Schizosaccharomyces pombe: one gene and its partner. Changing the gene in region 1 together with any one later gene gives a genetic interaction. Each region holds a gene or a part of one and is shown on either strand. Other genes may lie near its edges.

The links. A genetic interaction does not mean that the proteins touch.
Region 2: mutations in ekc1 (region 1) and ath1 together harm fitness more than expected from each alone (negative genetic interaction), as found in Schizosaccharomyces pombe (one large-scale study listed by BioGRID).

Annotation. Positions count from the first base shown.
Region 1 is NC_003421.2:1,627,706-1,631,461, reverse strand, and holds the start of ekc1 (protein phosphatase regulatory subunit Ekc1), read left to right. Parts: upstream 1-2,087; 5' UTR 2,088-2,341; coding exon 2,342-3,756. Other genes in the region: wtf element Wtf14, read right to left, coding at 112-131, 195-257, 298-549, 599-823, 895-1,024. UniProt on the Schizosaccharomyces pombe protein: Has a role in chromosome segregation. May provide a dynamic connection between kinetochore microtubules and kinetochore chromatin.
Region 2 is NC_003423.3:1,664,960-1,668,715, reverse strand, and holds the start of ath1 (ataxin-2-like protein), read right to left. Parts: upstream 1,757-3,756; 5' UTR 1,658-1,756; coding exon 1-1,657. Other genes in the region: SPOM_SPBC21B10.15 (uncharacterized protein), read left to right, coding at 2,799-2,853, 2,967-3,094. UniProt on the Schizosaccharomyces pombe protein: Involved in post-transcriptional regulation of gene expression, probably by association with mkt1.

The DNA of each region.
Region 1 (3,756 bases):
AATACAAACGCTTCTTTCAATATAGAATCGTTTGAATACACATGTAGCATATTAAACCTTTTCCAAAAAATAACGGATAACATTCTCAGCATTGCATTTGTTCAAAACTCATTAGTTTCTATTTAGGATATCTAGTTTGGTAAGTGAGACGAATTGGAAAATGAACATCGAGATTGATGAATTTAGCAGCATACCCCTAATAGCAAATAAGCAATCACAGTACTTATTAAAAACTCTAGTGAATAAACCAGGATTTTCTTGTAAAGTTAGCATTTATCAGAATTTTGAAGAACGAACCAATTTCAATTATAAAATATGCCACGTTTAGCATAACACCAATGACACGCTCCACCAACGGGCATCCCAGTCTCCATTGCTCAAAATGACTTCTAAAAAACATAAGGAGGGGAATGGCAAATGCATTAACAAAAGTCAACTTGAGAATAGCATATAGCATATTTACTCCCCGTTTTTGGGGAAAAGATCTTATACCTGCTCCGCAAGCGACAATAACTTCCTTGATACTCCTGAACCATGTTTCATATGTTGCTATAGAATTAGCAGCTGCATACTGATAGTAATCACATAGTCCACTTACCGAGTAAAAGCCACATCGAAAATATGTTAATTCCACCATTTCCCAATCCAAATAGCACCCGATCTTTAGTTGAAAAGTTTGCAAACACGAGATATTTAAACAAAGCAATATTTATTACGAAAACAGGAAGAAGTACTGCTGGAATTTTTGTCGACCAAGCCGTACGAGTATCAGCAACCTTAGAAGCTTCCATCACTTTATGATCAGCAGGTCTGGAAGTTTTCACTTTTACGTTAAAATTGCTATCTTTTTGAATATGAAGTTCTTTTTCTTCCCAACGAGGGTATTTTTCTTACCTAAAGACTGAGGTATAGTGGCTTCCTCGACCACAGTGTATTGTGAGACCTGAGTTTCGTGCTCGCCTTTTCCACGTTTAGGATTCAATTCATCCAAAGAATCCTTAGCCAAATGATGATTGTTTTCCATAATGAGCGATAAAAAGAGGTTGATCAAAAAATGCGCCGGTTGATATAACTGCGTAAACAAACAAGCAAGGTCCTTTCAAATTATCGCAATTTCAGATCTTACAAAGTTATACTAAGCAGAGAATTACAAAATTGAAAAATTTCGAATCAATTGCTTAAAACAAAGAATATTCAAAAATAGGAACCAAAAAGCTGATTTAGGAGGTAGATTACTTCTAACATCCGCATTTTAAGAAGACTAGCAGTATTCCTAAGTTACATTATATGCTATAACGAACACTTTGAAGCAATCTTATATCTGGAAATGCGAAAAATAATACAGTCAATTGATCGTCAGTAAATGCATTATCGATACAGATTAGTCCTTGCCATGGATTGACTTCTGCAGTATAGGAGAGTTAAGTTAACTCCTATTTAGGAGCTTTTATAACCGTAAATAAAATACTCTTTTAAAACTTTTAAGCTAAAATTTTTCTTTTGTGAAATTATCTGCTAAGGATATCTACCGATTTACAACGTGATACTTATAGATTTCGCTAACAGAAAACTGGTGAACTACTGTAATGTCAACTTCAGTATATCGAATAATACAGTACGTTCCGTATCGTTATATATCACATGTTCTGTTATCTATCCGCTATCTTATGATACAACATAGCACAAAAAGATTTGCTGATTTTTCCAAAAGAAAGTTTTAGATTAATAAACATACTCTAGATAGAGCCTAGCTGGAATTCGTTAGTACAGTTAAGTATTGAGCTTTTTCAGTGATTAGCTGCCAAACGTCCCCTTTGTATAAGAATATCAGCATTACCTGTTACCCATATTACCTGTGTATCAAAATATAATATGTATCAAGCAACCCCACCACCGTTTACCATATCCCTAAATTTGATTGCAACACGCTATTTCCACGGTATAATTGATTGCGCATTACACTAGAATAGCCAATGTTTTTACATCGCTTCCTAAAGCCGCAGTAAAGAGACAATTGGCTTTCCCCCACCTCTCCATATGGAAGAACGAACTACGTAGGATTCACCATTCACACTTATCTGCCCTTCGCCAACAGCTTAAAACCGCAACTGTCTGTTTTGGAAGTAGTAATAGAGGAAAAACTTCAAAATTGAGACTCTTTGATACTCATATTTAAAACCGCAGACATTGATTATCTATACAGTGAAGGGCACGGCTCAAGAGTACCGCCGTAAAACAAGAACGCAAAAGGGGAAGCCTTTACCTAAGAGCTTCGCCGTTTAAGCCTTGGGAAGTATAAACATAGCTTTGACTTACATACATTTTAAAGGAAGTGATAGAAATGTTTTGGAGATTGGGCCAGGGATTTGGATTTCAAAGCTCAAGCGCCATTGAGGCGATTTTGGATAAACCGGAAGATGAGATTAATTTAAAGGAGTTGTTAGAAGAGAATGGGGTTTTGGACGAATGTAAAAGCCACAACCCCAAACTTTTAGAATACCTTTGCAAGCCGGAAGTACTTAGCCAGCTGATTGATTATATTTTGGAGGTTGACGAAACAGAGATACCTTCTGCCGATGGTGGTTATGAAGAGCCGGAACATACCAGACTTTCCTACATAGCGAGTGAAATCCTCAGTAGCGACGTTTGGTCCATCTGTGAGGCTTGTGTGGAAAATAAGACATTGATGGTGAAACTTTGGTCCTTTTTGGATAGCGAGGGCCCATTAAACCCATTGCAAGCATCATACTTTGCAAAGGTCAATGAACATTTTCTGGATAAAAAAACCGAAGAAACGGTTGCCTTTATCCAATCTATTGATAACTTTGTAGAAAAGATCCTCCGTCATGCGGAAACAAGCGCAATCATGGATCTGTTGCTCAAATTCATTTCAATGGATCGTTGCAATACTGCTATTGGAATTGCTGACTGGTTGTATTCGCAGGGATTAATACAATCCTTACTGCGTCTACTTAGCCCATATGTGGATCCCGACGTCCAGTTTACTGTTGCTGATGTTATAAAAGCAATTATCGCTATTTCTGCCAATTCTAATGAACCCGGAGTTATTGGACCTAACTCCCTTTCACGAGAACTAGTATCCAGACAAACAATAACTACACTAACTGATTACATGACCGATTCTAAAGCTCCTCACTCTGCCACTTCTCTTATTAATGGCGTCAGCATCGTAATAGAACTAATTCGTAAGAACAACAGTGACTACGATGTTACACCCGTTTTGCAAATGCCTCTTGACACGCATCCTCCTACTACCCGTGATCCTATTTACCTTGGGACCATGTTGCGTCTTTTCGCCGAAAAAATTCCTGTCTTTCAAAAAATCCTCCTTAAACCTTCCACCGAGTCCGACCTCATGCCCACCAGTTTTGGTAAGATCAAGCCTTTAGGTTTTGAACGTTTCCGAATTTGTGAACTTTACGCCGAGTTGCTTCATTGTAGTAATATGTCCCTTCTTAGCGATCCTAATGGTGAAGCCATGGTAATGCAGCGTGACCATCTTCGTGATTATCTTTTCCGCCATAATAGCTGTGCACGTGATCTTGTCATGAGCGACGAGGACGATGATGATTCTACTTTTTCCGATAAAAATTCTAAAGATTTTAAGGAAACTGAAGACATGAACGGGGCTGAAGATATGCACGGTCGTGCTCCGCAAATCACTAAGGATAACCTTAATTTGACTACTACTGATTCCCCAATGTCCGAGGCTGAACCCGTTAGTGAAGAAGAATA
Region 2 (3,756 bases), on another chromosome or scaffold:
TTGCAATGGTTTGCTGTAGGGAGTTGGGTCCCGTGTTCCAAGTCGGGGGACATGAAAAAGGCTTATCAATCTGCTCCGCTCCTTGGTGTTCTTCTCCAACGTTTTTAAAAACATTAAAGTTATCTAAGATGGGTTCCTTCTCCGATGAAACAGGACCGTTGAAGAAAACAGGAGAGGAAGAAGGTTTGTTTTCACCATTGGAAACCACTGAAGGTGATTGTGGTGTGGTTGAAGGAATCGAAGCTTCACTGTTGTTGGACTGCTGAGGCATCATCGGACGTGAAGCATTAACAGGTGCGGGTTTACTGGGGATAGTAAATTTACCAGGTGTAAACACAGGAGCAGCTACATTCGGCTTAAAAGATATAGCCTTAGCATTCAACTTCGTGCCCAGCTTTGTACCTGTGGTTTCCTTTCTCTGTGTAACAACAGAGGGCTTTTCGGGTTCAGTTGATGGTTTTTCCTCTTCTTTTGAAGGAGAAGATGTATTTCCATCAACCTTTTCAACCTTTTCGGAAGACACCTCCGTAGCAGATGTAACTGGTTTTTCAGCTTCCTCCTTTCGTGGTTCTTTCGAATCCGCCGGAGTTGCCTGGCTGGAAGCATCAGGAAGCTGTTTTTCATCAGCCACTTTAACTTCAGCAACAGATTTCGTAGAAGAAGGTTGTTTGGAATCCAGCGAACCTATTTTTAAAGATTGGCTAAACTGCATAAACTCTTTAATCTGTCCTTCCTTTTCACGTCTGGAGAGAGGACCAGCCTTACGGCGGGCGTTGAAAAACCTTTCAGCTGCTCGAGAATCTGGACCAGGTGCGCGAGGCAAAGCAAGGTGACGGTGAGACACAATTGCTGGATCATCAGGAGGAACTACTTTCTGCTGTGGATGTTGATGAGGGGCTTCATGGTTCTTAGGTTTTTGATCTTTGTTGTTCTTGTTGTACGCATTACTGCGGGTGTAGTTCCTAACAACATCGATAGAACGATGAACGCCAGAATAAAGGTCCTCTTCATCAAGTCCACTATCATCAACTTTAAGACCACGCTCTTCAGCAATATGAATGTTGTTGGTTACGGTACCTTCAATTTCTTTCGCTATACGATCAGCTTCTTGCTCTTTCTCTTTGTATTTTGGATGACTTCGATCGATACGAGAAGTATACAAATCTTCATCAAAATGAGATTTCACACCGAAAAGTTTTTCATTTGTAGCAAATTGATCCCATTCAACATTATCAGTAGACTCCTCTAAACCAGCTAGAGGAACACCTGCATCTTCCGGATCTGGCATCCAGCGACGGAGTTCTCGTTGACGAGTTTCAGTGCGCTTTTCTGCTGAAATAGCTACATCTGTTTTCCAAACTCTTTGCTGAGAATTATTTGATTTCGCAGAACCAGAAACACTCGAAACATTTTCCTCGGAAGAGGCCAACGAGGTAACGTTGGAAGATGAGTCGGTGGCTTTAGCAGCAACTCCCCCTCTGACTCTATTTTCAGGTACTACTTTAATAGATTCTACATTACGATGATCATTCGTAGCAGACTGAGCAATTTTGCTTCCTCTAGCAGCAACTGCTGACCATTTTTTGGCACCCTGAGTTTTATTAGGGCTGGCAGCGCGTTGCGAGGTCTGTTTCATGCTGACAGAACGGGTTGCCATCAGAATTACTTGAGTGTCCTCAGATACTCTTGCAATTTCTCGATTTGCAACCTCCCAGTGCCCAACTGAAATTTGAGTAATTCCGTGGAGGTTGGAGGTAGAAGCAACTAAAAGTGAAGTGTAACCTTTAGGTAACTGGGCGAATGGCGCATGACACCAGGCTTACACCATAGAGGAAATCAAATGAATGCTACCATTCCTAATAATTGAATTTTTTTAATTTTAAATTTCAAAGTCGTAGCATAATATATTTTCAGGTTCGTACCTTTTTTTTTCATATAGATTCAGTTACTTTGCAGAGCACTAACCACCCAAAGGCTGCAGGTGGCAAATGCGGTCATACTCTATTTTCTTCGCAGAATGTATTGATAAATTAGCAATTGTACTGTTGATAATTTACTGATTCAAAACGCTTTATTTGCTTTTTTTACGATAACAGATGCAATTTTTTGAATTAAGCTGTAGTTTATGTAGCAATGTATGGCTTTACAATTCATGTACTATGTCTGGATGACTTATTCTACAATACAATAAGACAAAGGTCAATACATAATACGGAAATTCCGTTAAAGTGAACAGGCAATTCTTAATTGAGTAAACTTTAGACATTAATTGATTCAAAAGCAACCTACAACCGCAAAAAAAACTTATTCTTTGTAGCTTGGAAAGTTTAGATTGGCCTTAATCAAGGGTTATCGGCTTACATGCTTTACAAAAAACACTTTTCATTTGCAAATGATTAGTATACTAAGAATAAAAGGCTTGAAAACTGGCACATATTTTACGTCAAAATAGACAACCAAGGACACTACGAGATTTTATAAGTTAAAAATCCCATTTACACCAATATTTGTTTAAACTTCTGAATTTGTTCTATCAGAATTCTATAGCCCCTTTAAACCACTCTCTTTCCAAGACACTGCAGTTTTTGTTTCATATTATAACGATACCTTAGTGACCATTAACTATTAACACTTCAGAAGTTAACATCGGGCTGCAAAAAGAAGATATCACTTGAACCGGCTTCGTGAGCAAATAACCCAATTAAACGTCGAAAGTTTTGGTTTCGTCCTTTCAAAGCTATTTTATTGCAAGCATTATAACCTTTCAGTATTTGAATCCTACAATTTAATTTTTCACGATGGGTATGAGCTTAAAAGGACAACTACTCACATTTTTTGGAATATTCATTACTGGTATGTTTATTGATACTATAAAACTGAAGTAATTCAGGTTTCAAAGTTCTTTAAGAGAATAAATTAATATATATATTTTTGTCTATAATTGCTTTTTTCACTAACTCACGCAGTCGGCCCTATATCATTTCTAGTGCTTAAAAACGATTTAAATAATAAAAAAAGAGAGTACTTTAAATTGTATAAGCAAGAACAGGCGAAACAGCTTGAAAATGCAAAATCTTCAAAAGAAAACAAATAATGAAATATTTACTATAATTTCGACGCCAATGTCAAAGCTGTCCACAGACAGCGATGCAAAGATATTAAATAAAATAACCTCCTAGTCCATGTAGTAATTCCGGCAATCCCAAAAATAACACTATATAATAAAAACGCTGAGTAATTAAAAATTAAAATAAAATAAAATAAAATAAAGCCTTAAACCGGAGCCATTATATAACAAAGCGAGACATATTAATCCAACAATATGTAGAATAAGTTATAAATAATAAACTAGTATTTCTCTCCTCCTGCGTTAACAAGCGACGCTCAAGGAAGCAAAACAAATGTAAGGAAACAACAGATAAATGATAAGGGGGGTTCCGTAACGACCTACTGAAAAAAAAAATCACTTTCCAGGCATTAAAAAAATAATCTTTCAATTCAGTGTCATAACGTTTCCAGGGCCTTTCATCTTTGCAGCCTTCAATAAAGATTGTCAGATAATGTAAAAACTTTACATGTTACGAGGAAACTAAATAAATTGATAATCTAAAATATATGTTTAAAAGAACTTAAGCCTATCAAACACTAAGCTTAAAAACTTGGAATGGAGAGTAAGGAATCCTCATTTTCATATTTGTGAAGTTATGCTCAGACGATAAGGCTGAAATATCGCGAAAAAATCTCCAAAAAATGGAC